3 linked regions of the Lonchura striata genome follow. The protein of the gene in region 1 binds, or shares a complex with, the protein of each later gene. Links are inferred from orthologs where the notes say so. Each region holds a gene or a part of one and is shown on either strand. Other genes may lie near its edges.

What was found.
Region 2: the proteins of DGCR8 (region 1) and ERH are in contact, whole or in part, in a crystal structure (PDB 7CNC), measured with the Homo sapiens proteins. The link is inferred for Lonchura striata from reciprocal best matches to the Homo sapiens genes DGCR8 and ERH. Residues at the interface, in NP_073557.3 of Homo sapiens: Lys107, Phe108, Ser109, Pro110, Asp111, Leu112, Leu114, Leu115; in NP_004441.1 of Homo sapiens: Val8, Pro10, Thr11, Thr18, Tyr19, Ala20, Glu27, Lys34, Met35, His39, Arg42, Met43, Phe60, Leu64.
Region 3: the proteins of DGCR8 (region 1) and DROSHA are in contact, whole or in part, in a crystal structure (PDB 5B16), measured with the Homo sapiens proteins. The link is inferred for Lonchura striata from reciprocal best matches to the Homo sapiens genes DGCR8 and DROSHA. Residues at the interface, in NP_073557.3 of Homo sapiens: Asn728, Ile731, Leu732, Lys734, Leu735, Gln736, Glu738, Met739, Lys740, Leu742, Ala743, Arg746, Arg750; in NP_001369437.1 of Homo sapiens: Leu984, Leu987, Phe988, Thr998, Tyr999, Thr1001, Ala1002, Ile1003, Gln1005, His1008, Phe1069, Asp1073, Leu1074, Glu1076, Val1077, Trp1078, Asn1080, Pro1082.

The regions. Positions count from the first base shown.
Region 1 is NC_134620.1:8,229,313-8,239,694, forward strand, and holds the start of DGCR8 (microprocessor complex subunit DGCR8), read left to right. Parts: upstream 1-5,607; 5' UTR 5,608-5,748; intron 5,749-10,382.
Region 2 is NC_134608.1:33,810,056-33,820,634, reverse strand, and holds the start of ERH (enhancer of rudimentary homolog), read left to right. Parts: upstream 1-6,270; 5' UTR 6,271-6,377; coding exon 6,378-6,380; intron 6,381-9,372; coding exon 9,373-9,460; intron 9,461-10,520; coding exon 10,521-10,579. Other genes in the region: SLC39A9 (zinc transporter ZIP9), read right to left, coding at 1,697-1,805, 5,587-5,682. UniProt on the Homo sapiens protein: May have a role in the cell cycle.
Region 3 is NC_134603.1:97,750,121-97,760,433, reverse strand, and holds the start of DROSHA (ribonuclease 3), read right to left. Parts: upstream 4,209-10,313; 5' UTR 4,158-4,208; intron 3,853-4,157; exon of another isoform or gene 3,627-3,852; intron 2,928-3,626; exon of another isoform or gene 2,747-2,927; intron 2,740-2,746; exon of another isoform or gene 2,550-2,739; intron 2,519-2,549; exon of another isoform or gene 1,428-2,518; 5' UTR 1,421-1,427; coding exon 570-1,420; intron 1-569. Other genes in the region: C1H5orf22 (UPF0489 protein C5orf22 homolog), read left to right, coding at 4,273-4,377, 6,794-6,939, 8,465-8,614. UniProt on the Homo sapiens protein: Ribonuclease III double-stranded (ds) RNA-specific endoribonuclease that is involved in the initial step of microRNA (miRNA) biogenesis.

The sequences.
Region 1 (10,382 bases):
TTTATATTCTTGTGGGTATTTCCTAATTCTGTGCTATTGTATGGTTGTCTTAGGTAAGAAACTGGAAAATATTTGAAAGATAGGAAAGAGCGAAATTAATGCTTCCTTAGGGGAAAGTGGAGCCTCACAAAATGCTGCTGGAGGATGGGGAATCCCTGTTCACTGTGGAAAAGGTCTGGATCCTTGGCAGACCTGAGACTCCTATTACACTGATTAGAGCTTGCATTAATGTTCTGCTGTACTGGCCCCTGCAGTGGAGGTGGAATTGTCTCATCTCCCTTGTAGCAGCTTAATAAAACACACCTGAACAGAGCAGAGGAGGAGTTGGGCCTTTGGAGTTCCTCTATGTTCAAAACTTCATTGATATTTATTGTTACAAGTGAAATACACCAAACTGAATAATTAAGATAAAATATTGATAAGACTTGAAACACTGTTTTTGTCATACTATAAGGAAATAACTAATTTTGGAATTAATCTATGCAATACTAAGCAGTAATAAGGCAATAATTAAAGTATCTCACATTTCAGTTTTAGCCTATAGAACTTAATGCACATTTATGGCTTAGCAAGTATCCCTATTTATATGGAATATTAGATAGTAGGAGTTAGGTTTTTTTCATTCAAATTGATGTAACAGGACATGGCTGATGTTCTTCATCTGATTCATTTTCTGCAGAGAAGTCTTGTTGATAGCTTCTAAGGATCTAGGAAATAGTCTTGACTTGGTGAAAATAGAATCAGTGCTGCAATCAGCTGGAGAGACATGAACTGTGAGAATTACAGAACCCATCAGTGTGACTCATGCTGCAAAATGTAGGTTAAGGTGAACAGACTGAAGAAATGTTGAATATGTTTCTCATATATATATATATATAAATTATCTGTGTAACATTGTGTATCAAGAACTTAGAAGCTGAATGAAAGCAAGCCAGTTGACATGCTCAAATTTACCCTGTCTTTTGAAATAGAAGACATAAGCACTGAACATAGGATCACAGATGAGGAAGAAATAATAAATATTATAATATTAAGCAGGATAGCCAAAAATGACAATGTATAAGTTATGCACAATATGAATAAGAAAAAAAGCAGTATCTCTGCTGATGCACATTAAATTGTCATGTCTTTGCACTAGAAAGATACATGGAGAAAAATTATTGAAACCTAAATGCAGATCAGAAGATGGAGAGAGGAAGGGGAAAACAGAGAATACAGAATGATACTCTTGGTTTGTGCTGCTGTTCTCTTTGAGGCCTCTGAGTGACAGTGCCTGCTAAGGCACTCAGGTGCTTTCCAGCTTCCCTCTGGTGATGCTGGAGTGTTTTCCATCGGTGTCTCTCCTGACACACAGAGCCAGCTCTGGTCAGTAACTTGCCCGACTGGGTAAACACATTGCTTGCTTCTGTTCAGTGGAGAAAACCACATCACTTTTCAGATGTGAATTAACATACATTAAATGATAAACTAGAAAATATGTGGGGCCAGTAGTGTCTCTTTTTGTGGTATGCCATTGTAATTAGTATTCAATGCTTGAGGTTTTTGCCCCTGTTAAAGGAATGTACTCTTGCAAGGAAAAGGTGAATGAGAAAGCTAGGCTTTTTTTTTCCTTTCCCTACGCTATATTTGCTGTCAATAGCTACTCAAAATAACTATGTAAAACCACATCTTAGTCAGATGCATTATCCATCTCCTGTTTCTTCTGTCTCACTGGTATGGCTGGGATTTAGAGAAGAATTAACTGTCCTCTCAGTTACAGATGGGTCTGCATTATCACCCTGGTTTGATTAGTGCCTTTACATAGTTTTCCTTGTTGATTGTCCCTGTTTACTGTGCCTTGGCTCACATTTCAGGGCAGCCTCAGGTGCCAGGGTCTAGGCTGGTTTCAGATGGAACAGAACAGGTGCTTGAGGAATGGACCAAGTGTTCTCCAACAGGTAATGATTTTAACCTGAGCAAAACTGTCTGAAATGCACCTTGCATGAAGATTTAAATTCTCTGCACCAATTATTTTGCTGCATAAATCTTCTTATGTTAGCCTCTTGTACTTCTGAATGTAGCATATATAGATGTGTTGTGTCAGTGTCTTTGCAATACAGCAGTTGCAAATTTTCTTCTTTTCTTTATCAATATATTATGCCAGTCAAGTCTGAGTTCTCTCTTGTAATGTGCATGAGTTTAGACTGGCAAAGCAATCCCAGGATGGCAGCTGCATTAAAAACAACCCTAGCAGCACAACTGTGCTCTCAGAACTGTAATTTATTTGGCCTCTGTCAGGGAAAACAAAGGTACTGACATTTATGGTTTTACTTCTATAAGTGCAACTACACCTGGATTTTTGACAGCCAGAGATTACGCTCCTGATTCATGTCTGTGTGCTGCCAGCAATGTAGAGACGAGTCCAGGCTGAGGGATTGCAGCAGCAGCTTCTTAGCTGTAGTTCACACAAAGTGTGTACAACCAAGTGTGCTTTGTTACCACAGCTTTGAGTTACAAACTTCATGGTGTATGATGGCTCACAAGAGAAACTACCATGCAACAGCAGCTGGGGTAGCCAGAATGCACAATGTGCATACAGCCATGAGGCTGACTCAGATGATGTTTCTTATTTTAAGTTGTAAAGAACAGATAAGTACTGCCTATTTCAGCACAGTGTTCTGAACTATTTGGATGACAGGACCTACAGAAATCAAAGTTTGAAGACTACTATTCTGTCCCACATAGATATTATTTCTGTTTCTCTAATATCCCCCCTAGATAAATTGAGTGTATTTTAAGAATGCAGAATCTTCAGCCATAGGAATAGGTTTGTGCTATGTATGAAGAATAACTAAGGGAAACCTCAGTCACTGTAGGATAACACTAGCCCAGGTGCAACTGGCAATTGAACAGAATGTTCCTTCTGCATGGCTTGTACAGCCCAGTTTGTAATGTGAAGGTCACTTGGTTTTGGTCTTATTTTTTCTTGTTTTAACTTCCAGATTTCAATGCAAAGCTGTTACTTTTTATTTGACCACTTAGACATCATATCACACTTTAAGCAATATTGTCTTTAGAAAAATGTCTGCATTATTGGGAAAATTCTGCCAGCAGTCTGAATTTTGGGAGAACCATTTGACTGAAGTATTTCCAACAGGAAAATCAGAAGTCATATGTGATTCTGTAGACAACACAATTTAGATTATGTTGAATCTGTCAATGTCAAGAGCAAGATTAGTAATTGTGTGGTATCCTTGAGCCAAAGACTCTGTCTACTTTGATTAGTTCTTTTAGCAATCAACCACCTCTTTTGACATTCAAGAACTTACCTGAGATTGCTCATTGGGTCCTTTTGACATCTCTCCATGGCTGTGATGTGTGACAGATTAGATTGAGGACAGCAGATTGCAGCAAGAAGCAAAAGACAAAGATATGTAATGCAAGCAGATACCAGTTTACCAATGCCCCCAAAAAAAAAGTGAAAAGCTGCAGTGCAACTTATTTTACTGAAATAAAAGTAATGAAGGCTGAGCAAAACTTGTCGTGCAGAAGCTTTTGCTGTTGAAACAGCACAGTATGTGCTGCAGTTACTGACATAGGAAGAATATGAAAAAGCCACTGGCTCCACCTAATTTTCGATCCAATGAATGCAGCCTGTTAACTTTATTGGGAAGCTCATAGTTCTGTCTTTACAGGCCTGATGGCTGTATTTTGTGTGAACAGCAGTAGTTTCTGTACAGCCTTCAATATCTTGTATATGAAAATCTCCTTGTAATTAGGAACTGGTTTTTTGTAGATAACACTTCATGGCATTATGGTTAATCCTGATCGCACCATGCAGGTGGACCTGTACACTTCTAATTCAAAAACTGAAGATTTTTGTGCATGCTTGACAAGTCTTCCATCAGAAGTCCAGGTGATGAAAATTTTCAGGTGAATTTTGCACCTTATTAGAGCAGATGAGAGCAGATGAAGTTTAATTCTTGAAGGGGTTTAAAAATTTAACTACAATTTGAGCATTTTTTGGATGAAAACATTGTTTTGTTAATAGATTATTATCCTTTTGTTTATAAAATTAGGGGTCTATTTCCTTGTAGAGTCTGTGTCTCAAAAAATCAGCTGTTGCACCATTAGTTTAAGACATACTCTTACAATTCTCTGAGAACAGATGCACAATGGAAAAACTAAATCTGTTTTTTTCATTTTTTAAACACTGCAGGCATTTTGATTCTCCAACTCTATACAAAAATCTCTCTGTGTGCCACATCTGATCCTAACTGAAGCACTGCTGTTCACATACATATAAAAAATATAACCTCTTTTCTGAAGTATGGGATCTTACTGCAGTAGTTCATTTATATGTCACATAAATGGGGTGTCAGTGAGTCACAAAACTTGAATTTTGGTAGGTCCTTTGAGAGGGACAGACTTCTGTACCAGTGTTAGCAATTTGAGGTGACCTGACACAGCAAATACCAGCATTAACTCAAGCTCTTTACTTAATTGTGAGATCTTTTTCCTCAGCTTTGACAGTTGAAGTGTGATGTGAGTGGCTGTTTTGCAACCTGTGGGTGTTTATGAAATGCACATTCTGAAGTGCTTTGTTTTAGCATTAATAAAAGCAGTCATAATTTAAAAATCACTAAAATAATGGTTTGAGTGCATAAGCCTGTTAGGAGGAATTAAAAATTAGAGACTGCTTTTAGTGGAAACTGCATTCAGTTTTTGAGGGCAGCTTGCAATGATTTAAAGCAGTTTTGGTAACCTGATCTTTGTGTTGACATGGTACCATGGTGTTATGTCCAAATTATCACCCTATCATTAGAAGTGTTGGTGCAGCAGGACACAAAGATGTAAAGACCTAACAGCAGTCTTCCAAGTAAGTTTTTAAAGTTTTATTAAAACATTAGTTATCTTTCATAGTAGTATTTGGGGACCTCAAAAACATGAGATCAGTCAAATACTAGAAAAAGACTTTCATATCCTGAAGTCACACATGAAACAAGCACAAACATACTATTGGTGATGAAATCAGGATCCATTATCACAGTATTTTGTCTGATGTTGATTTCCAACTAGTGAACAACAAAAGAAATAACCCTATAAATAAGTATATCAATAAAAGCTCTATATTGCTCGCAAATGATAAAATAATAGAGCAAACCAGGACAGCAAATGTTAACACTTTCGAAGTAATTTTACATAAATTATGTAAGGTATTTTCAATAATTATTTAGTAATACTGTCTAAACACTGCAGTCAGATTTGGGACTTGTTCTGTCAACTGCTTGGTACACAGAGCAGCAGAAACGCTCTACTTTGATTTATCCTTTTGAGGTAGATCAGCCTTGTAGTGATATTGTAGTTTTGTTCCTTAAAGATACAAAACAGCGTTTTCAGGGAAAAGTGGCTTTTTTTGTACGGGGGAAAAGGCCCCAGCGGTGCCCGGGCCACACAAAGGACCCGCCCGCCCCGCCGCGGCCCGGGCCTGTGAGGGCGGGCGTCTCTCGCGTTCCTATTGGCGGAGCGCGGTGACAGGCACGGGAAGGAGCCAATGGCAGCCGGGATTTCAAATCGGTGACCGCGTTCGCTACGGACGCCATTGGCTCGGCGCGCGCGGGGTCCCGCCCGCGGGCCGCGGAGGGGCCCAGCGCAGGCGTTTAAAGATGGCGGCAGCGCGGAGTGCGGGACGGCGATCGTGAGGCGGCCGGACTCGCCCTCACCCGCAGCCCCGGCACAGGAGCGGCGGGGCCGCCGGGGATGGCCCAGGTGGGTGCGGGCCCCGCGGGGTGACGGGCGGGGCGGGCCCGCGCGGGCGCCAACCCCTCCGCCCCACAGGCCGCAGCGCCAGCGGGCCCGCCGCGCTCCCGCCGCCGGCCCGGAGCGGCCCCCGGGCGCGGAGCCCGGAGCAGCCGCTCCCCGAGCACCGACGTCCCCAGCGCTGGAAGGCGCCGCCCTGCCCGCCGGGCATTGCCGTGCGGCGCGTCCCCTGCGCCCGGCCTGAGCGGCCTCTGCTCAGAGCTGGTGTTTGGTTTTGTTGGGGATTTTTCTTGTGTGATTTTGTGTTTTGGGGGACTTTTTTGTCGTTCCCCGCCTACCCTGCTCGCCTCGCCGTGGGATTGCGTTGGGGGTTGTGAAGGGAAGGCAAGGCCGTGCCTGTGCCCGCGGCCCCGCCTGGCCGGGCTGATGCGGGGCCGTGCCTCGGGGGTTCCGCCGCCCGCAGCCCTTTGTACGGGGCCGGGAGCGCGGCTCGGCCCCGCAGCGGAGTTGGGAAGAAAAGGCACGACGTGTGTGCGGGCAAACGGGCACTCCTTTAGTTCTGGTGCACTGAAGGTAACGTGATGTCTGGTAATTCTCAGCATTCTTCCTAATGTGTTCTTTTTATTAATAGTAAATTATCTCCTTCAATCTCTGTAAGGTTAATGCTCCCAACTTTCTTCATTTTTTTTAAATTTTTTTTTAATCTTTTTTTGGTTGGAAATAGTTCCTTCTTTTGTACCTCCTTTCCTTAAGCTTTGGGTTTGTCTGCAAAGTTTGTTTGCCTGCTGAGACCTGAATACCCAGGCGTTGCGCGACCATAAACTGGAATTGGGTGAACACATTCAGTTTTCTTTATTCCGTTAGAGGTCTTGGAACTAGATCTTTTTTGTTTTGTGATTTGAGAGATTGTTCTGTTTGGGTAATTAAACTTGGGGGCTCCTATTTTTAATTCTGGATGAGGAGTTGGGTCGCTAGGCACCGCCTTCTGATTATCAAGGTTGTTTTGCTTCTTTAGAGAAAGAGAAGGGGTTTTGGTTCCTTATGTCTGTTGTTTTTCTTTTCAAGTAAGAAGCTTACATATAATGGGAAAGGAAGACTATATTTTCTGTTTTCTAGGCTCTGATTTTCGTCTTTTGTAAATCAATTTCTTGTCTTACATAATTAATCAAGCCATCTAAATCATGCCAGAACACTGCTCAAGCTCTAAAAGCAACTGTTGTTTTGCCGTTTCTGAGGATAGCTTTCCAAAATTATGTTCTCTGTTCGTTCTGAAATGGAATGAAGTGTTAGGAACTAGAGAAGTTACTGAGCCTTGTCTGTATTTGCACTGATAATATGATTGTTGGGTTCTGGCTCCATTTTCTTAACCATCCTTGGTTAACTGACTTGCACAAAGTGCTTGTTTCTTTCAGAATCTTTCTACACTACAGCTCATAATAAGGAGAACTGAATTCTTACATGTAGTATTATCTTAAAGCACATTTTCTTTTGGTATTTTCTGTTCTGGTTTAAAGAAAATAAATTCTGTCTCTTCAGGTTTTGTTTTGGATTTGTGGGTTTTCTTTTTAGCAGTGGTAATAAATAGGATTAACTTATTTCTAGAGTTGTATGTGTTGAAAAGACACATTAGGTATTCATAAAAAGAAGGTAGATGACTGAGAGTGGGAAATTAATTTGATATAGGTTAATGGATCAGCACCTGAGTTGCCATTTAGGGCTGGAGGATGAGGCGGAGGATTTGTATTTGGTTAGCAAATAAGGAGAGTTTCCTTTGAGCCACTCTTCATTTTGGGGTTCACTGAATGTGAAGTGAGCAGTCTCTGACACAGTTTCTTTTCAAAAGTGACTTTTTGAAGAGAGAATTTGTGGTATGCTGTTCCTTGCTGCAGCTACGTGTATTAGTAAAGAAAATATGTTCTTTATTAAATTCTTTTCTAGACTGCTGATCTGCTGTTACAGAAAGGAATTTTTCTTTGCGTTTGGGTGATGCTAAAATTTCCAAATTTTAAGATTCTGGGGTTCTTTTCTGTCTTGAAAAAGGATACCCTTTTTTCTTTGTGTTTTTTCTCCCTTTCCTTTTTTGTCTGATTGTGGGACTGGGCAGTGGTACTTACTAAGCAAAGTAGATTTGGTTTTTTCCTTTTGGCATTTAAAGGACATCTGTAAGACAATGAGGCTAAGATTACTCTGCTTTCTTTGGGACCTGTGCAGTTTGCTATATTACATTTATATGCTCCCCAGTATCTGCATTGTTTAGTTTACTTTGTGGCATGAAACTTTTTTAAACGATTAGCTAAAGTAAGAGTAAGGAGTTAAAATTGTGGAAATTCCATGTGCTTGTAATCTGCAGAACATGAGCTGTGCACTCACATTTTCAGTGTTTGTACTGCCTGCTGCAGCTGCCAGTGGTGTTTGTCTCTTCGGAAGGAATGAATCCTTATGGAAATAGTTAATGGAACTTCGTGGAGCCTTGGAGAATAAAATGTTATTTCAGGACAATTCCGTGAAGAATCACAAAAGGAAACTGACTTATGTTATGATGTAACTTGGTATGCTGAGCCTTTTTGTGTGTGGCTGTTATATTCCCTTTTCTAAGGCACATTTGGCTGTTTGTTACCTACAAGCTCATCTAACTCATCCTTTTGCCTTTTCTCCCTTCTGTCTCTTCAAATACCTGATAGCTCAGTGGTTTTGTTGCTTTGTTTTTGTTTTTTTTTTTTGGGGTTTTTTTTTTTTTGTTGTTGTTGTTTTTTTCTTTCCCAGCCCCTGATATAAAGGGCATATTGTAATGTCAGCTGGCAGGGAAGTAGATGGGAATTGGACTTGTGTTCCACTTGTTCTGCCTTGCTTTTTGTGGCTTTTAGGCAGGTATTGTAACCCACTGTAACTGTAGAGCTACTGTTACCTATACTCAAAAGAGAGAAAAAAACCCTTGCAACAGTGTTAGAATAGTAACAACAGACCTTTCTTTGGAAACCTCCAGGTGTCTGGTCATGATGGCACACCTGGCACCAGATTTCTGCTATTATAAGGTTAATTAATTAGGGTATCTAACAGGTACACCCAGGAGATTCAGTTGCCCTTGTAACCCATCCCTGGGTCCAAGGGGTCTCTGCCCACTTCTTATTATGTCTTATTGTAGGTCCCCTGCTTAGAATAAGACTAAACAATATACCAGGAATGTGTTTAGAAGGTCTTATTGCTCTAAAGTCTAAGTGGGAAAAGTACCAGAGTTAATTAAGGAGCTATATAACTCTATAGTAGTAGTCTACAGAGCTGCAAATATATGAAAAACATATAAAAAGCAAAAATCTTTTTGGCATTACTACCAGCCTGTTATTTTACCCTAGAGATGTGGCAGGTTCATGGCTAGAAATGGAAAAAGCTCATTTGAACCCATTTTGGTCTAGTACTTTTCCTGAGCCAGTGTGTGCTGAGGAGCAGAAAATCCCTGGCTGTCATTTGCTGTTCATCGTTCAGCTATTCATGGTTTCACAGCCAGCAAGAAAGGGAAGACAACAAGAATATAATTGTTACCAGTGCTTGAATAGAATAACAAGACATCTTTCCTGCAAAGAGCAGAGATGTTGTATCAGTGAACTGCCTGAGCTGGGCAGGTAAAGGTTAAGTATTATTTTGACATTGGTGGTGGTAAAACCCTTCAGCATAGGAGCAGGACATGTATCGGGGGTCTGGAAGTGGCATTGAGGATCATGTCGTAGCCTTGTCAAAACTAAGTCTTTGTCAGGATGAGGAAGCTCCTTGAACACAAGGGAAGGGTTTGCTCTTTCAAATTCTAGAATGCTGACTTCAGTATTCCATTTCTGTGTGAATTCTGCTTGCTCTTTTCAAGAGGCTTTAGATGACTCTTTAAGATGGAAAAATTAGATGACTTAGGCATTTAGTTTCCAGGAGTTACTGAACACATGCTGTGACTTTTGATTCTTTTGTTCAGAATTAAGACACTTAGGATTTACTGTGAAGAATGTAAAAATTTGTCATTCTTTTTTACTTTTTTAATCTGAAGATGAGGAAATTTATAGACAAATTTCTCTCTAGGGGTGTTCTCTACATTATACATTCCAGAACCTGTTGAAAGATGAAGGAATTGTTCATTGCTGAGGTCATTGTATTTAGGTCATCTTGTAGGATGGAATGGAATTAGATATATAGAATTGATTGTCTTACTGGTGAATGAACCATTTTTCAATCTGAGAATTAATGTGTTGGTATCAGAGAAGATGGGATTATTTTAGAGTTCTTACCAGTTTTTCTCCTTAGTAATTTTATAATGCATGTCAAACTCGGCATGTTGGATGTGTCACAATTCTGAGTAGGTTTAAAAAACGCTACACGCTTCAAAAAAACACCACAAAATATGAATTCCTCTGCTGCCCCAGCAAAATTTGCTTTGTTGCCATACTAGAGTTTGCTCTATATTATGCTTTCTTCCAGCTTCCAGGTAGGTAACTGCTGTATTTTGCTGAATTTTAATTGATCCCATTACAGCTTCTGATTCCCAGCCTTGTGCCTTTCCCCAGTTGGTGTTTGGATATTGCTATTGGTTTGTTCTGCCTGGGCTGACACAGAGATACATGAGAGAATTACCCTTGGTTTCCCTAAGTCTCTCATGGCAGCCCAGA
Region 2 (10,579 bases), on another chromosome or scaffold:
AGCTGTTCTCACAGTCTTAATTTTGAATATTCTATTTTTCTAGGAAAAAATCTTATAAATTTTTTTTGCAGTTAAATCTGTAATACCCATTAATTCTATCCTTTGCAGTATAAAAAAAATTCAGACAGACTATTGTTATACACAATACTGTGAATTAGACATCGAGTCTGAAGCCATTCACAGACACTTTTTTCTAAGTAAATACTTCTGCTATTACTACTGCAGTACTGTGAAGTGTCTTTTTTTTGCCATATACTAAACAAAGTTACAGCCCATAGAGCTCTACACAGCAAGCTGTTTAGTCATACATGAACAATATGCCCCATTTAGTGAAAACCCACAAATGCTCACAGCAATTGTATTCACTGCTAGCTGTACCATTACAAGAGAAAAATCAGTCTACTCAGAATTAAAACCGAATGGAGAGCAAACCCACAACTACAGCTCATTAGAGACATCGACATCAGAGTGCACAAATTATAGTGCAGTATAAAGGCATAATTAGAGCTTCTTTCACTTCTTGATAAAGGATGATTTTATGTATTCTCTTCTGTTTATTCTAAATCTAAGCAGAACAACATAAATTTAGTGGAAGCTAAAACAATATACATTAAAGCATATTACTAAAATGAAATTTAGAAGTTTAGAAATGCAAAACCCAGCACTACAGGAAAAGCAAAGGACTACAGTTACCTCTCATTCCCAATTAGCAACAACAGTACACCAGATGTTTGCAAGTTTCTCTACAGCATCAACTTTATAGTGCTTTCCCTTGCAATCAGTAAGCCACTGCCTTTTATCTTCAATGTTTTGATTCTGACCATACTGGAAAAATCTCATACATGCAATGGTCATCTAATAGCACAAGTCTCCAAGCAAAAGCAAAATTTAAAGTGACTCCAAATAGAGGTGATGAGCCCTGGCTATTTGAAACAATGCCATAACCTCAAACTGAGGTCTGTTAAGGCTTTCGGCTCAAAGACACACTCCACACAAATATCCCTGCAAGACACAATCTCTGGTCACTTTGAACTCTTCATTAGAGAAAATGAGGTGGTTACAACAGTGACAGCAGACTAAAACGGGATGATTGAACACAGAGATTTAGATGTATAATGTATACCACTAGGCAAGAAGAAATGCCTGCTACTCTGTAAATTAGCCCTATATAACCATAACTTTCAGCTAAGTATATTAGTTCCAAGATGCTTTTCAGCTTCAGAGGAAATTCTTATTAGGGTAGGGACACAGATTTGTAAAACACCTCCTGCAATTGCTTTAATGAGAAGCAGCCTAAACTACAAAGAGAAGCAGTAAATACTCCATAATTTCATTCTCTGCCAAAGGCACCCTTACACCTCCTTTGAAGTTCCAGTGGAAGTTAAACTCTCCCCAGAGCAAGAAACACTACACATGACCTGTCGTAAAAGGCTGTTATTCCATGAACAGTACAATATCCAGACCCACAAATGATTGGATAACTCAGCAAGAGTCACCAATCTGCAGACTGATCATATCCCTCCATGTGCAATATCATGCCTATAGTAGCTTTGCATTTCTATGCCTGCCTTGTGTCATGCTGCTCTGAAGCTCTTCTATCAATCTCATCTTAAAAACTCTAAAAAGAAGCCTCAGTATATAATAACACACCATGACTAAGTTATCTTGAATGAGGCATTCTGGGTTTGGTTCTTACCCTCCAAAATGTCTTCATAAAGTGCATGTACTCCTTCTGGCACAATGACAGCCAAGGCAGTTCCACACAGGAGGCCAGCACCCAGAACAGTCACCAACTTCAATCTCTCCTGCAATTAAGTACAAAACAAGTATAATCTTTAAGAAAGAAAAAACTTTCTTTACTCTCCCTTATTAACAGATGTTGGGGAAGGGGGTTACTCGTTACATAAATATTGAGAATTTTCAACTAAACCTTAACAGCAATATATAAACCTAATGTTTTTATAGTAAAGAATAATAGTTTTATTCATATTTTTGGAATCATTTCTATAACAAAAACCAAGTTTTTCAGAGTTATCTTCCTAGTTATATTCTAGTCTGGGGCAAAAGGCTGAGATATATCCTCCTCCCAAATGAATTACATTCTGTTTCACCAAGAAATTCACCAATTCACTTCCTTTTGACTATGCTGACAGGCTGAAGTCAAAGCCACATACTAAAAGCCAATTGTTATGATATAATAGAGTCTAAAATATAACAATTAGCAGAGGCCATTGCTCATAATTTCTATAAGAACCCCCATCATACAACATATAGCAACCACAGGAGTTTAGATACTCCTAAGAACTGTGCAGCACATGTTCAGTGGCAGAATCACCATCATCTTCTATGTTTAGTGAGAAGTCTGAGCACCACCAAAACACTAATGATAACTACTGAGGACCTAGAGAGAGAGGGCAGCATTTGAATAGCAGGAAATCACTTGTTGCATATCATTTTTATGCCATCACTCTCCTTCATCCACTATAACCACACAAACAGTTCAGTGTCAATGAAATGTGCAACACTTGCACAGAAGCAGGAGGCATTAGGAGATGCACAACCAGCTTCCTGAAAGCAAGCCAAATATGACCATAAGGGAACAACTGCAGCATTACTGGGGAAAACTCCAACAGTCATATGCAAGAGATGAAAACAAGTGTAAAGCTCCCACAAACATGCACTGTATACTTGGACATAGAATAATTACACTTGGCAAATTGGCATACAATGGCAATCTACACGAGAAGATAAATTTTCAACATTTGCTGTTCAAGTAATTCTGCAAAAATATAGTAACATACAAGGAAAAAAACATTATTTTTATCTGCAACACTATAGTATTTTTTGCATACACACACACAGAGTAAAGTGTCAGAAGTAATACTGATTAATTACAACTGCAAATACATGGCATAGCTTGCCTTCACTCAGGCACCTGTGAATTTTAAAGATCCATTAAAAGAATACAGACTAACAAGTTAATTCAAAGTAAGTCTCCATCTCATTTTCAGTACAAAATAGTTGCTTGTAGTGAATACAGAAATTTAGTAAGAACAACCTACATATATAGGTAGAAGGAATACACCTTTATACAAGAAATCAAACCATTTCTGTTAAATACACTTGCATGTTAAAAAACAAGAGCAACACAGTAAGCAGTGCTAAAACTCTACAGGAAAAATTTCAAATTAGCAAACCGCTTCACCATTCAGTATTTTTTTAAGTCTGTAGGGCACTGAAACTTTTACTTGGACCTATCAAAAACTCACACCTACTTTCAGGAGGAAGTGACCCCAGTTCCTGCCTCATGTTATACCACCAAAACATTTCAACTGCTAAAACTTCAATTTAAATTTTTTTTTTTATTTAGACTACAGTTTAAGTGACAGCCTCAGAATTGGAAGAGTGCTGTCTCCAGCCCAAAATTAGACCAATAGAGCCCTGTATATTAGGATTAAAGTGAAAGGGTACCTCTGCACACAGAACTAAGGCACAGCTCTCTTCAGTTGGCACCTTTCATCACTCATGTTTAGTCATACCTGGCTTTCCCAGAGTTTTATACTCTCACCAATATCCTAATCTAATTGAAATAATAGAACACAGCATGAGATCAGAACATAAATAATAAATTCCATGGCAAAAAGGAATCTGAAGGAATGTATTAACACTATTAACACATTAGTGTATTAACACTAATGAATAATTTTATTGTTCTGTAGTATCTGGGGTATACCATGCACAGCATTCACTTTTGTTTTCAACTCAATCATTACAAATGGCCAGTGGGAAGAGGTATTTTTACTCACTTTGGCTACCTGCAAAACTTTTTGCAAACTATAGAAAGGACCGTCCAAACAGTCATTTCAGTTTGAAATTGTCTTTATTGCAGATTCCTAACCAATAATTTTAAACAAAACAATTATAACTTCTAATTAGACACTTCCAGGATTAGCTGGGATTTGTACATCATGTGCAGAGATATTCTGCTCTTTTTAAACCAGCACTGCATGCAAACCCTTAAAAATATCTAAATCAAGTGTAAAACCAACTCTAGAATCTCTGAGAGCTTAAGATAGTAATAAACTTGACTGCACATTGCATAGTGGTGGTTCAATACCACACACACAAAAGGCTAATTAAGTACATGATTACTGCTTAGGCAGTTTTGGATCCACAACAGATCTGTATTCCTGCAACTCCTGGAAGCCTTGAAAAGTTTAGGAGACCACTGAATGAACCACACTGCATCAACTACACAAAGTAAACATCCAGACAGATCAAGAACCTTAACTTCAAACAACACTGAATATAAATTAAGAGTTAACAGGTGACTATCAAGCACATACATGACGAAATGTAAAATTAAATTTAAAAAGAGATAATATTAGCACACAAGGCAGTGCTCTCAGCAAATGTGCAAGAAAACCTTTTGTGGGCTTCAGGCAGAAATGAGTTTTAAAGAGCAAGACAGTGGGAGCAACAACACTAAAGACACATAAAGGAAGGTCCACCAAAGCATCAGATGAAGCACTGGCAAAACAGAACTCTGCTGATGTTCATGTGAACATGCCTGAATAGAATGTTAGGTTTCAACTCATTTAGCTGAGCTGTACTTATCCTAAAACAAACAGCCTTTTCTTCCAAGCTGCTCAAGGTCTACTGCTCCCAAAGCCTCCAAGTAATGATGGGACCAAAGGACAGGTGCGAGCAGCTCTCTGATTTAATGGAAGACAAAGGCAAGACAAGGGAAGACAAATTTCTACTCCAGCACCCTGCTTCCCAAAAGTAACACTACTTCCAAGAGAAATGGGAACTCCTCATGAGAGTGCTCTTAGTACCATAGTACAACTAAACTCTCACTATGCCATGCCTCTATAAAATAACCATCATTTAGAAAGAAAAAAACCCCTCGGGTACCAGAGGATATTAGGAATCCTACAGAGGCTGTGACAACCATGCTCACCTCAACAACTATTTCTTAGAAGCACACAAAGATGTTTAACCAGGAACTCCTGTACTGTTTGGCAACTTACCCAATCTTTGAAAGTTTCCCTCTTCTTTAAGTACCTTATTTATCCAAGATATTTTTCTGAAAGAATGCCTTGAATTACATGGGGCAGTAACTCTATAGTAATCAAAGAGCTAAGATTTAACTTTCAACAGTGAAAGCTGTGAGCTAAAATGTGAATCAAAGTTTTTCTGACAATATTCTTGGAATTGTTTTAGAAGCCTTAATTTGAGTAGCCCACAGGCACATAAGAGATAATCACTGACTTCAGCCATTTCTTACACAAGCTTCTAAGAATAGCCATGCTTATTCATGTCGTTACACTACGTGCTGAGAATTCACTTCACCTGTAGCAGAGACCCGACTCAAATCTAGCAAGTTTAAATGGCCACTGTGAAACAAGCATAATTTTACACAGTAGTTTTGAATGAAAATTAATACTGCACTCATAACTTTTAAAGATAAAGCTTCACCCTTAGCAGCGTTGCCATATTGCAAGGGGACGGCACCAACTCCTACTGGGAGATCTCTCTGGTTTCTCCCTTAGCAACCAGCGCAGTTTGGCGGAGTTGTCTTACCTCGGAAAAATTAACCGCCAAGGGGATAATTCCTGCCACATAGCAGGCAACCAGCATGGCCAGGGACAGCAGGCAGATGGAGGGGAAGTCATCCATTTCGCCGCTTTCTGTCCGGTCCCTTGAAGTGAAATCCAACAGCAACTTTTCCACCTCCCAGCACGCCTTAACCCGTGCAGCCACGGAGCTCCCGGGAGAGGCTTTGGGCCATGTCTCTGCGCCCGGCGGCAGCGGCCGGCTCGGCCCGCAGCCGGGGTGCGCGGCCGGGCGGGAGCGGCTTGGCCAGCGGCCGGCGGGCCCGGCCCTCACCTGGGCGGGGGAACTTGCACCCGCACCGTGCTGCGCGCAGGGCAGGCGGGAGGGAGGGCTGGGGGACAGCGAGCCCGCAGGCGGCTCCTCGCGGCGGGGCAGCCCCAGGCGGGGCCGAGGGGACCGTGCGGGACCGGCGCTGCCAGCCCGTTCCCGCGGCCGCTGCCCGGCGGCCAAGTGGCACTCGGCGCTTCCCCTTCCGGGCCGCCCCGCCCCGCCCCGCGCGCTGCCCGCCTCCAAGATGGCGGGCGGCGCCTCGGCCCGCGAGGCGCCGCGGGCGGCTCCCCCACCAAAGATGGCGGCGGCCGCGCCCCGCCCCCGCCAGCCTGGCCGCGGCCCCGCGGGCGCGTGCGCGCGCGGCGCTCTGGCGCGAGCGGCTCTATGGTGGCGGCCGTTGGCGCGGCGGCGCTTCCGGCGGGCGCGAGGGCCTGTGGGGGATCGCCGCGCGCCACTTCTGCCGGCGGTGCTGAGGGAGCGGAGCCGCCATGGTGAGAGCGGGACGGGCCCGCCGCGTTCCGCCAGCGCCGCGCCCGCCGGGGCGGCCTTCCCTTCCCTCCTCTCCCTGTTCCCCGGGTCACTGCGGGCGGGAGGGCCGCGGCCGCTGGTGCGGGCCCGGGCGGGCGGCTGCACGTTTTGGCGGGGCAGGGCCGGACGGGGCGGGAGCACAAAGGCGGCGGTGGCGCTCGGGCAGCGGGGCGCTGGAGGCTCCTGCCCCTCTCCCCCAGAGCCTCGGCCCCTCTTGGGGCGCTGCTGGGATCCCAACGCTTTCCTGCGAGTGTCGCCCGTCGGACGAGCCGGCCTTAAATGGCTGATCTGCGATTTCCATGCTGCTTTCCCTGCTCCTCCCCTCTGCTCGAAGGAGGGAAGGGCGGGAGCTGCATTTATGGGCACTGGGAATGGCACGCTGAAGCTCAAAGGCCTCCCTATTAACGTGGTTTGTTGCGTTCATCTAATGAATTAAGATGAGCTGAAGCAAGTGATTGCTGTGCAGTGGGAGGACAGCCTCTTGTCGGTTTGCAGCGAAGTTTCATATCTGCCTGGTACTTGCTCCAGTGCAGTTGACTTCGGCCATGATGTGCAGCTGCAAGCCCTGTCCCTGTTGGCCAAAATGAAAGGTGGGCCTTAGGCCACTTTTTCTGCTTGGCATTTAGGTGTGTGCAGTATGCGACTGGTTGGTATTTGCATTACTGCACATCTTACCCTTATAATATGTGTATATCTTCCACTTTTATTGTTTCAGGGCGCTTTTTTTTCCACTTTATTGTCAAATACACTACAGTTGGTGGAAGCCTCTTTGGGCGGCAGATGCTGTGTAGCTTTAAGTCCTGCTGGTTTGGCTCTTGGCACTGCTTTAACCAGTTTTACAGGGTTCTGCTCTCAGTAGCAGGAGCAATTTCTCAAGTGCTCTCCAGAAGTTCAAAATTGGTATAATATAAACCATGTGATTCCTCATTCTGTGTCCTGCTTAAAAGCAGCGAGTAAACTGTGCTTTTAAGGAAAATGCAAAGAAATTCAACATTATGTATCATCATAGTAACGGTCCATATTGGGCTTCTCCAGACGACCTGGTGCTAATGCAGAAAGGTTTGTGGATCTTCCCTTGTTTTGGTTCTGTCACCTAGGCTCACAGGGCAGGTAATAGGAGACTTCCCTAAGGCTTCTGAGCTTGTCATTAATTTGTACCTACGTGGTAGGACAGGACCAGCAATTTTATCAAATCCAACAAATTTTCCTTTAAAGTAAAACAATGTCAAGTTCCCAAAGAAATGTTTGAAAAGCATTAATTCTACAATACACGTGATCCAGTGGTATTAATTTACATATTTTTCTGAGCCAGTATCTGATAATGGATATTGTATAGTGTCTGAAGTGATAAATGGCTTAAAGTCAGAAGTCTGAATGACTTCTGCTGTGAAGTTCTGAAGGAACTGGCTTACGTGTCTGGCTCACTGATGTTTCTATAATCTGATTATTTGGGTAATTTCAGAATTTATACATTCATTTAGCACTCCTCAGTGACCATCTAACTAAAATGATAGTGCTGGAAAAATTATTTTATGGTAATCTTTGCCAGTCATTTGGACTCCCTGCTAAGACATGCCTGTTCCAAGTACTGTGCACTTAGGAACAGCCAGATACCAACCCACCTTGGGGAATTCCCTTCAAGTCAGTCATCCTCTGGCATACATGAAAGTGGATTTAAATTATCTCCTCTCCTTTGTATGGTTTTTGTTGTTACAGTGTGCAGCTCAGAATTCCCCTTTTTTCCATTACTGATTAGATAAAGCCTCGCTCCTTCTTTTTCTCTGCATAACATTTTCCTGAATTTCTCAGAATCTGCTACTGCTGTGTTGAGACAAAGAACTGAAAACTGTATTCCAAGGATGGGAACACTGTCAGTTATGGGATAAGAATTTGTCCTGTTGTTTGGGTTTTTTCCTGTAAATCCTAACATTTGTCATTTCTCTTTTCTGTCACTGCTTTTCATGAGCACCGAATTGGTATCTTTACTGATTTCCAAAGTATGGGTCAGGATTTTTCTGTCAGCTGCTGATTAATCTAAGACAGATGATATCTGCAGATGCCTTTGTGTTGTGTGCTCACCTCACATATTACCGCTGAAAATGTTGGATCCAACTAGCAGCACTGGAAACGGCCATTTGCAGTATGCTTGCAAACTTTCTGTGGTATGCAACCTGTTAATGAGATCACAGATTGTGTACACTTCAAAAATCTTGCTTTTTTGCTCAAATTACTTGCTGCAGCCAAGTAAAAATGTTATGGAAATAATGGAAGCCACAGAGTGTACAATCATCTAAGCCTTTCCCGCAGAAGAACAAGCTTATGGACTCCAACATTTGGAACAGTTTTCTGTGCCATAATTACTGTTTAAGTAAACTCATTGAAGTGGGAAAAACCAGTACATCTGTTTTGCAAGAAATAATCTTGAGTGCTAAGTACAGATTTATTGTATCACTTCCCTTGAAGTTAAATTGATAACTTAAAACAGCTAATTCTGTTAAAATCTTTCATGTGAACATGACAATGTTGTTAAGTTGGGTCCCCTCTTTGCTCTTTAATTGGGGCATTGGAAATTTTACTAACAGCTTGCATTTGGAATTAAATAAGTAAATGCAGTAATGCCACAGCTCTTATACATTGACTTTATTGCTTTGCTTGTCTGTCTAAATAAAAACTGTTCCTGTGGTATTTTTTTTTTCAACACAATAGCTGTTTACTGGTGATTTTACACATTTTAAAGTTCCATAAGGATTGATAGGATCTGTTGAAAACAAAACTAACACAGCTTACATATATAGTAAATGCTATGTGGAAAATGTCTGTGTCCTCGATTGCTAGTCTAGTGTTTCACTATTGTGCTTCATTTTACTCCTTCTTTCATATAAATAACTTGATTCAAACCAAAATCATTCAAAGTGTGCAAGTAACCTGTATTTTTGTGTTTGTTTTGTTTCCCAGTCTCACACAATTCTACTTGTCCAGCCTACCAAGAGGCCAGAAGGCAGAACATATGCTGATTATGAATCAGTGAATGAGTGCATGGAAGGTAGGTGGATGCAGACATGGAAGTTAAAAACTATTGTTAAAATCCTCTTTTTGACATATTCACAAACTTAATGAGAAAATAAGCTGTTTTTCAAAAGTAATTCACAAAAACCCTCATGCTTTTAGCTTATTAATGTTCTAGCAAACTAAAAACTAGTTATTATTTGTTTCTAAAACTTCCTTTTTCTATTAAATGTCTGGTTTTGATTTAACTAGATGAAACCACATCCAGTTTGGGAGAGTAGATAATATTCTTTCTGGGCTCATGCAGCAGACCTGTTTCAATGCATTTGATTGCAGGATCAGCAGTTAATTCTCAGTATTCTTTTCTTAGCACTGTAAGGCAAAGTTTGCTGCTGGAAATAATATATTAAATAAAGGATTGTGTGCAACTGATGCATAACATGCAGTCTCATGGCACATGTGCCAGAGTAAAGATCCTGCAAAACTTTGATACGCATAATGAGCGTGGAAAGAAGATTGAAATATTAGAGCTGTCATTCACTTAACATTAGTCTTGCAGGAGGTTTTGTGAGGCAAACAAAAGTATAACAAAGACCACGTAAAGTCTCTGCTCATTTTAGTACTACATTCTTCTCAAATGTATCTGAATTTAGTGGACTAGTTTAAATAAATAAAAGTGCTTTAAATGTATATACACATTTGTGCTGTCATTCTTGCCGCAATACCTTGTTTGACTCTTGGATCAAGAAGGATCATTCTTAAGAGTTCTTCTGTTTCTGAGGTGTTTGTGTAGTAGGAATATATGTTCTAATTGTTGTCTTAAAATTATTAGAAATAGTTCCAGATGTCTGTTGGAGCTTACTGCATGAAAAGTTACATATTTGACAGCACTAAAACTTTTCTTTCCATGCATCTTACCTGGATTTATAGTACTATGTTTCAATGCAAATTGCTAGGAACAAAAGTATTTCAGCTCTAGAAATTTTGATTGTTTTTATGGTGGTAATTTCTAAACTTTTATTTGTGGATCAAGAGCTGAAACAGTTTCAGCTCATAGAGTCTTTAAATATTTCATGGTTAATCTTGTTTCTCTGTAGGAGTCTGTAAAATGTATGAAGAGCATCTGAAGAGAATGAATCCCAACAGTCCATCCATT
Region 3 (10,313 bases), on another chromosome or scaffold:
CCTGACACAGAACAGCTCCAGAAGGGTTTTCCCCCTGACAGGGGAACCCCGAGAGAGGAGCCCAACGTGGGGCAAAGAAACCGATATATTAGCTATGGGCCCCTATCAGACTATAAACTTCACCAAGTCAGTATTCCCTGTAAATCCAAGGTTTACTGAAAGAAAGCAACACCCGGCACCCAAATCTTGAAATTTGAAGTGCTAGGGCTTAATTGTAAGACTCAACTTTCTATAGTCTTACAGTGACAACTCTATTTTCCTGCCACGTGTGCATTCATTTCTAAGGTAAATATGTTGAGCACTACTCAACAATCCACTCAGTGGGATGCAAAGAAACTGTTGTTTGAAAAACTATTTCCATGGACAAGAGCAACAAGTCTGCCAGCTCACAACTGTGAGGCAAAGCAGTGCACCTGAAAGGTGTCTAAACAGTATTTTTTTCCATGAGACCTGATTACTGGCTACTTCCCAAGCTAGAGGGACAAACAAGGGTAAGGGAAGAACATTGATGCAAACACACATTATGGGCCATGATGACATCTATCCCCCTGCAGGCAGGTAACTGTTACCTGTTTCGCTCATAACTTCTGTGATGAGGCGATATCCTTCCTCTCTCATAATCCGTCCGGTGCCGACTGCTTTCCTGCCTCCTCCTATCCGGACTGCGGCCCCGATCCCGACGATCCCCGTGGTTGGCGGAGCGATGCCTGTCGCCGTGAATGTGCCCGTGCTCGCGGTGCCGGTGCTCATCGTAGTGCTTGCTCCTGTCAGGGGAGCGCCGGTCGCTTTGGGACTTCTCTCCCTGGTACTGCCCCGTGTGCCTGAAGTGGCTGCTGCTGGCGCTGCTGCCGGCAGCGCTGCTCGGGAAGGAGCCGGAGCTGTGCTGGTAGCTGCTGAAGCTGGGCGGCGGGAACGACTGCTGCGAGTAGCCTGCCGAGTACACGGGCTGGTAGCTGACTTGCTGCGGCATGACTGGCGGCGGGGGAGGGTGTGGTACCGTGGGGGGAGGCATCATGTAAGGAAAGGTGCTTTGTCCAGCAGGTGCTCCTGGCACGGGAGTGTTGCTAGGGTTTGGCACTGGTGGAGGAGTGGGTGGGAAACATGGAGGCACTGGGAAGCTCTGCCTCATCTGGTGGTTTGGAAATGGTGGCCTCATGGGACACTGGCTGATGGGATTTTGTGTGGAAGGGGGCACTGGAGGAGGATAGGGCACAAAGTCTGGCCTGGGAGGCATGTAACCGGTGGCTGGAGGGTTGGAGTAGGTTGTTGGAGGGGCAGTTTGCTGCTCATACTGGTACTGCACGGAGGGCTGCTGTGGGTGGAGCTGCCGGAGGTTCTGAGGGCGGTAGGTCTGTGTTGAAGTCCTTGCTCCTGGTCCCCCCTGGCCACGGGGACATCCTCGCCCAGAATGGAAAGACATGGCTCACCTTTATTGAGGAAAATAAAAATGCAGTGTCACACAGTTTTTGTAAGATGTCTTCAATGCATCTGCAGGAGCTACTCCTGAAGTGCTGACACTGCAGTTTCCTTTAACAGAAGCAATAAATGATATCCACTTTCACTGGGAGCTTTGTGCTCCTCAGACATTTAGTGCAGGCCATTTATGCCCCTTTAGATTCCTTCAAGCCTCTAATCCATGAAAGCACTTACTGTCTTCAAGCCAGAACGCAAGCTGGATCATGCTTTACGAGTTAGGGCAATGTAATTTCAACAAATTATTGTAATGATGGCAGGTCAAGGATACAAGCACCTCCACTAGGACTTTGACACTTTGATATAAAACCTTTGGATACCCCACACCAAAGAAATCACTCATTATTATAACTGCAGTGGTTATCCAAAGTTGTGTAAGAAGTTCTCTCTAGAACACAATTCTAAATTTTGGGCAGAATGACTTGACTAACAAATCTTTGGATGCCTCCTGGCCAAACAAATCATGTCAACTTTAAATTAAATACTAGCTTGCTATTGAGTCCCCAGTGTACTAAAGACTGAATTCAACAGACCCTTCAAACTCTTTTAAGTGAGGTACGTATATTTTTGTGGAAAAACAGGTTACACATCTTGCAGGTTATGAAAAAAAAAATCATGCAGACTGTGCTATTCCTTAATTTTCACTGAAATAAATGATTCCAAATAAATCCCTCAACTGCCTTCTTGACCCTGTTACCCTTGAGAAACCATCACTGCTTAAAGTAGGTTTAAGTGTTGCTCAAAACAAGGCATGTATTTAAGGCATTAACATTTATAAATGAAAGCACTGTGCTTCATTAAAGTTTAAATTGATTTTTTAATTGCAATGGTAAGTTTCAAAACCTGAAAAAAGGAGAAAAAACACTTAAGAAAATTTATGGCTGGAACGGAAGGAGAGGTGAAAAAAATGATCTAAGCACCTCCAGAAGTCAAATCCTGTTTTCTGTAAGGGGAAGTGAGAAAGAAAGGGGAGACACACACAATTGGAAAGATCACCAGAAAAAAGAAACAAAGCCTCCCTTTCTCTGAGGCTTTGCTGATGCTGAAGAATACACATGCACAGAATATTCTCCCACCTGCTATAGTGCAACATGGCCAACCTGGACTGCTCAGAGCACTGCTCTCAGCCACATTCCGGTGACACTGTAGTAAAAGTTGCAGCACTTGCTGAGAGAAAGCAGACAGCTTCTGGTGAACTGGAGGGAGAAAGGAAACGAAACACAGGGGCAAAGGACGGATAGCAAAGATGAGGAATCAAGAGGACCCTCCTTACACATGCAGTGCTTAGTGGAAGCCACTGGAATTGGTGGTAGTATTCCCTCTCCAGAACAATCAAGTGCCAATGTGAGTGTGATTCCCACACTATGAGGAGATAGCAGCCATGATGGTATAAAGCCACGTGTTCCTTCCAGTCAGCCTGCACCTGCTCAGTACCCTCTAATATTCTAAGGGCTCTCAAAAAAAAAAAAAAAAAAAAAAGTCACAACCAGGGGAGAAAAAAAAAAGTCAACATCCATTTTGTCTGGCAATAGCATACCCTTTTGATATTACTGACTATAATCCATCAGATGCTGAATTAACTTTGCTTTGGTTCTCCTGCTGTGCTCTTACACAACTCAGGCTTGTAACAGAAGACTGTTTTAGACTTTGCTAATGCTCCCATACACATGTTATTTAAACAGGCTGTACCACAGTGCCTTATCTTTAGGTGCGTTTCTTTCTAACATGTCACAGCATTCAAAAAAACAGTCTTGTTTATCAGCTCACAGACCTTCCCAATGCCAGAGAACTGCTCTTGATCTATTACTTTAATTTTAGTCCTTCAGCAAGCCCAGAATCACAATTGGAAAAAAAGATTCAAAAAGACACGGAACTATTTTACATGCCCAAACTATTTTAAAGCTCCCTCTGCTGCAAACGCAAGTCACATTAAACTTCAAAAACACAAAAAAGAGCAAACTCCCCTTCCCCTGTCACCTAAAGAGGAATTTTATTGCACCAATAGGAGCCATTGCATTCTAAAGCAGCACTGGTCCCCTAAAAAACACTGAATAAACTCATCTCTCCCTGCAGATGCACTGCTGAGAGCAACAGGGCACTGACACATCGAGAAGAGAGCACTGAGAGGGGACATCATCAATGCCTGTAAGTACCTAAGAGAGGGTATCAAAAAGGCTGGATTCAGGCTCTTCTAGTGCCGTGCAACAGGCACGAGAGTGAACGGACAGAAGCCGATGCACAGGAAGTTCCACCGGAACATGAGGAAGAACTTCTTTAACTGTGCGGGAACGGATTCCAGAGAGGCTGCGGCGTGTCCCTCACTGGAGATACCCAGGAACTGTCCGGACGCAATCCTGTGCCATGTGCTCTGGGATGACCCTGCAGGAGCAGGAAGACTGGACCAGGCAACCCACTGTGGTCCCTTCCGACCTGACCCATCCAGTACCACCGGCCTCGCCCCACCGGCGCCTCCCGCCGGCCCGGGGGCACGGAGCCGCCGAGCCGCCCCTGCCGGGCCCCGCTGCCCGCGCCAGCCCGGCCCCGCCAGCCCCGCGGAGCCGCCGCGCTCCCGACCCCGCGACCCCTGCGGAGCTCCACGAGCAGCGCGGAGCGCCCCGAGGCGGCCCCGCCGCCGCCCCGCGGGCAGCCCGGCACGCCGAGCCCGCCCGGCACGCCGAGCCCACCTGGCGCCCTCGCCGCCGCCGAGCCCAGCGCCGCCCGCAGCGCCCGGCTCCGGAACAGGAAAGCGATGGGAGGCGCTGCGGGCGGAAGCGCCGCCCGCCCGAGGGGAGCGGCGGCATGAGCGGAGCGGAGCCGCGGCTCGGCGATGCCGCCCGGCCCCGCGGGGCCTCCCGGCGGCGGTACCCGGCCCTGCCCGTCTGGGTGGTGGAGGACCACCAGGACGTGAGTGCCCCGCGCTGGGCTGCCGGGGGATGGGGACTGCCATGGGGAGGGTTTCCTTTGTTCCTGCCTGCGTGTGTGCTGGTGTTTCTCCGCGGCGCGGATGCTCAGAGGGGCAGGAGGAAGCGAAGAGAGGTGCCCGGTGCGGTCACCGGCGGCCTCCCGGGAGACGCTTTCCCGTACGTGTGCGGCTTCTCCGGGCGCTTCCCGGGGAGCGGCCCTCCCCTCCGCAGCCGCACACAAACCCCAAAGCCGCCTTCCCTTCCGCCCTGAAACATCAATGAACTTCAGCGCCCAGGTGGCCCGATTTTCCTTCCCGATTGACTTATTGCCATGATCGCATTTTGGCATTTTTAAAAGCAATTATTGCTGACTGCTTTTTCTTCTTTTGTAATTGAACCACACCAATTGCTGTGGTTTAAAGGAGATAATACCTACATTACACTGCTGTTTTAATTTGCTGGCTATTAGTGGGGTGCTTGGAAACTCAACCCTACCCAGTGTATGACATGTCAGCAGAGTATAAGTAAATATAATCCTATCCCATCTAGTAGATTGACTCCCACTTGATGAGGAATGTTAAAAATCTGGAGCTTTGCCTTTTTTTTTGTGGAGTCATTGAAAAAGGGAGTGAAGAAGGAATTGCTTTAGAATTGCTGTTTCTGGTTTCTCATGGGGTTTTTTATAATAGCATAAACTGAGGTTTTAATCCTAAAATAACAGATTCTTTACTTGGTTATTTGCAAAGAGAAAATGTTAGTGTAGTAAAGTGTTTTAAAGACAATAATGTTACAAATTTGTTAGTAGTTTAATACCGTTCATTTTTGTAAAGACTCGCTGAATACAGGATGCTGTGACAGCTGATTTTTACAGCTCTAAGTAGCCAAGGACTTAGAGTGTCAGTGTGGTAGGAATTCTGAGATAATACCTCTTAATGATCCTTCTTTACTTTAGTCTCTATATTTCTGGTTTTAGTCAGCTTAAAGTTATATTAATACTATATATTTAATTTAAAACATTTTCAGCACAGGAGTGTGGATTAATTGGTCTATCTTGCATAAAACATAATGGCTTTTTGTCCCGAAGTGGAAGAACTTCACAGAAGTTTTGATATCAGCCTTGCTGATAGTGATGTTCCTCCAGAGCAAGTTGTCAGTAGCTGCATCATGCACTGATTAATAATAACAGCTGTCATGAAGGAAATTTTGTTCTTAGTCCAAATCAGGAGAATTTGCAAGGTTAGAGAGGTTAGTCTTTCCTGTCTCTTGCAACCAGTAGTTGCACTTACCTGAGGTGAAGCTTCAATTTTAATTGAAAATACTGTATGTTATTTAGTAGGCCAACTTGCTTCTTTGTTACAAAAAAGTAAAAGCCATGCAACAGGAAACCCATGTTGGTTTTAATCTTGTTTTATCTATTGTTGCAATAATATACATATGTTTTACGGTTATGCCTATGCAGTATGCAGGGTTTATCATCTTAATCAGTTTTATGCCAAAAAAGTAGCTCAGTTGCTTTTGTAATGCAGAGGTCACATATATTTTTTGTTGCTTCTTACAGTCTTCACATTCCCTGTATAATAGTGCTGTCATTCACAATCCTTGTTGGATTTGCTCTGATAGCCAAGGCAGTTGATTCTCTCTAACTGTGGAAGAGCCTCTGTGAGCTCCAAGAGAAAACAGCCATCAGTTTTCTCATTTTTACCACCCCATATTATTGCAGTTCAGTGGTTTGCTATTCCTGTAAATTGGTGAGTTGCTTCATCTCCTGTTTTTCACCTATCTGAGTGAAGAACTTCAGCAGAGAATAAAGTTGGACAGGTAAGAAAGATAGTCTCTATTGCAAGCAGTAATGGAAGGATTAGGAATTAATTCTCCAAGAGGAATAGGTTTAATGATCAGCTGAAGTTTAAATCATGGTGGCGTCAGTTTTCAGTCTATATCATTTAACTTATAAAACATAAGGAGCAAACTGTTTTTATCTCCATAGCACCAGTGCATGGTGAGAAAGCTTTATAGCATGGGAAAAGAAGTACAAGGCCAATGATCTGCAGAAGAGGAAAGGCATTCCTGAGTCTTCGGTGTAAATGGAAAAAAAACCCCTCAAACATCTAGGAATAGAGTTGAATGGCTAGTGAGAAGAGCTACTGCAGACAAGACTTCCTATAAAGAAGGAAAAAGGGTGTAAGGCTGTGACTTTTCAGCAGTTTCTCATCTGGAGCACTTGGGCTTATAATGATTACTGTTCACGAGTTGTCTTGCCACTGGAGTTATTTTCCCTCTGTATTGTTTTCTGTCTCATCCTCCCTCTAATAAAATTCTAAAGGAATAAAAGTGGTACTGGTGGTTTTGCTGCTAAAGCTGTTGCATTTTTCAGCTCACTGACTATCATTAAAATGTTTTTATTCATGTTGCTTTAGGTGCTGCCTTTCATCTATCGTGCCATTGGTTCAAAGCATCTTCCTGCCAGTAACATCAGTTTTGTTCATCTTGATTCCCATCCAGACCTTCTCATTCCTGTGAATATGCCTGCAGACACAGTATTTGACAAAGAAGCTCTTTTTAGGCAAGTCCTGGGTACTGCATCAGAGTAGACTTTAAGTCTAATTCTTGCTGCCTTTGATTCACAGTGATTATTGCTATGACTGCTTAGGAGGGATGAACAAAAGTGATATAAGTCACATTCAAGTTGCATCTTCTGTCTTTTCACTTTTGCTGAAACTTTATTTTTTAATGGCAAAAGTTACATTGCGTATCAAGCAATTTAAGATGCATGACGTTGCTTTGTGTATTGACTCAATAGTGTATGATGGTATTAAGCCAAATGTTTCTTCTGGGTAACAGGAAAGCACTCTGGATGCTTTGTCTGAAAAGCTGTAATTACAAGCTGATGCATTTGGTGTACTTGAATCACCTTAGCCATAGTCAATATTTTGTTCTCTTTATTGAGTGACTAAAAGGTTTTGTGGACTCTATCACAAAATCATTGAATGCTTTGGGTTGGAAGGAACTTTAAAGATCATCTAGTTCCAACTCCCCTTCCATGGGCAGGGGCACTTGCCACTAGACCAGGTTGCTCAAGTCTCCATCCCACTTGACCTTGAACACTTCTGACTATGGGTCACCTACAACTGCTTGGACAGCCCACGTGGTGTATCTCACCACACTCACCATGAAGAATTTCTTCCTAATATCTAATCTAAACACCCACTCAGTTTAAGCCCTTGTCCTATCACTGCATACCCTTTTAAGAAGTCCCTCTCCAGCTTTCTTGTAGTCCCTTTTAAGGTATTGGAAGGTACTATAAGGTTCTGTGCAGAGAACAACCCCAACTCTCTCAACCTGTCCTCATAGGAAAGGTATTCCAGCCCTATGATCATCTTTGTGGCCTTCTCTGGACCTGCTTGAACAGGTCCATGTAATTGTTATGTGGGGAGCCCAGGGCTGGATGCAGCACTCCAGGTGTGTGGTTTCACAAGAGCGGAGCAGGGGGGCAGAATTCCCTCCTGTGACCTGCTCATCACACTTCTTTTGCTGCAGGCCAGGATACAGTTGGCATCATACACCTAAAATAAATAGGGTCTTGATTATGAGGAAAGATGCTAATCCTGTGGATGTGGATTGACTCACTCTAATTACTGGGATGACATTTAAAATACACTTGGAGAAGTTTACAATAAAACACTCTCATGAGGTCAGTTTGAAGTTATTTGCAACAATGTTGATGATGTTCCTTGCACTCTCCTCTGTCTGATGTATCAAGAGATAAAGGGCATAGAATCACAGAGTCACTGATGTTGAAAAGGCCTCTAAGGTTATTGAGTCCAACCATTAACCTAACACTGCCAAGTCCACCCCTAAGGAGTTTATAATCAAAGTGCCATGCTAAGAGTGAAGCCAATTCCACTCTACATCTACTACAGACCTTATTGGTTTGTCTTAGGAATAAAGATTTCCCTCTCTTTCTTTCTTTACCCTTACATGGAGTACTACTTTTAGATTATTTGCATGGGGGCCTTCAAGTTGTGGAAGATGTTTGTGGTGTTCTTGACCATTTATATTTATCTTGTGTCTTTCTCTACTGATTACAGTGAATTAAGTATTGAAAACTGGATTATGCCTGCTGTTTATGCTGGCCATATTTCTCAAGTCGTGTGGCTTCACCCACACTGGGCTCAGCAGATCTCGGAAGGGAAACACAGTTTTCTAATTGGGAAAGATTTATCAACAACAACGATCAGGTGAATTGTCTGCTGACATATATTAGTAATATAAAAGCCATCTCTATGGATTTTCATTGGAATTGTTTTGTTTTCTTGGATAAAGATGAACATTTAATTTATGTTTATAATTTCCTTAGAACCTAATGCAGTTATACTTGTATCAATTTAATCTTTGTTCTAACTAGTAAAATTGTTAATTGGTATCAGCCATGACTGTTTTTCTAGTGTGGGGTGGGTTTTTTTGTTTGTTTGGAGTTTTTATTGTTGCTGTTGTTGTTGTTTTTTGAAGTTAATTTAGGTAAGTACTGAAACAGGCACTCAGGTAGTGAATTCTCCATCGTTTGATAAAGGACAATTCACCTGAGCAGCCTCATCTAGCTTTGAAGTCAGTTCTGCATTGATCAGATGATTGACTAGAGACTTCCAGTTGTCTCTTTGAATCTTAATTATTCTGTGATTCAAGTTCAAATTAGAGCCCCTCACCATTCTGCAGGATGCAGTCCATAATAATTTTGTATTCACCATATTAACAGTGTTGTGATTTTGTGCAGCTTTAGGGGATATTTGCAAATCATGGCTCTTGTGAGCATAGCAAAATAAATATTTTGAAGCAAGTTTAACAGAAGACAGCAGAGAAGTGCTTTGTTTTACCACCTTAAATAAAACATTTAATGCTCTATGATTCTGAATCTGAAGCCTAAAGGGAACCTAAATGATTTTTTTAAAAAAGCTAGTGCTTTCTGTTGCATTTAATAATTTAGCCAGTATATAGGAATAATGCACAATGGTTGAATAGCTCTTTCACTGATGGCTTTAGCAGGCATGCAAACAGCATTTCAGACTTCCTTTTGAAGACATTTGGGTACATTTTCTTCAGGTTCTAGGCCTACCAAGACCATCAAAGAAGAAAGGGAAAGAATCCTCATAAATACAAATTTCCTAAAAGTTTTGATGACAAAAGATGGATGGGCAATAGATACAGCCTCTTCATTAGTGGACACTAAGGTACTATGGGCTCATGGTGAACCCTGCAGAATTTCTGGGAAGATGTGCTGTGATAGCCTTGTCAACAAGATGGGGCTGTAATCCAGCCTCTCCCCTTGACAAACTGAGGGTAATCCAGCCACAAGACGCTGGGGAACTGAACTTCAAATTTCTCCTACTTAGGAAATGATTTGTCTTTGTGGTTGATTGATGGTGATACCCTGAGGCCATACCACAAGTGAGCAGAAGTTCACACTTCTTAATCTTATTTGTTATTTGAGTTTATGATTCTTAAGGCTTAAAGTACTACAATACAGGTTGAAAATTCTGTTCTTTAAATTTGCACTATAAGTAGAAGTTTTAGTGTTGCTTTTGGTTGGTTAGTTGTTTTTTGGGTTTTTTAAAGTGGATTCAATTGATTGTTATTTATCCTCTAGTTACCATGTTTATCACTTAGGGAATCTGTTGGGGTAAAAAAAGTTAAATTTTACTTATGAATTCATAATATTTTACTTTCACTAAGCCAATCTATATGCATCTCAGGGCACTTCTCAAACCCAACTGTAATAATTTTCCTAGAATATTATAAAACCAAGGCAAAATATCCATATATTTGCAGTCTTACGTGCCGTAGTATTGATAATATCTTGTCAATTCTGGATGTTGTCTTGAAAATGAAATTCAATTTCAAATTAATCTTACTGGACATAATGCATTAACTTTTCCTTATCCA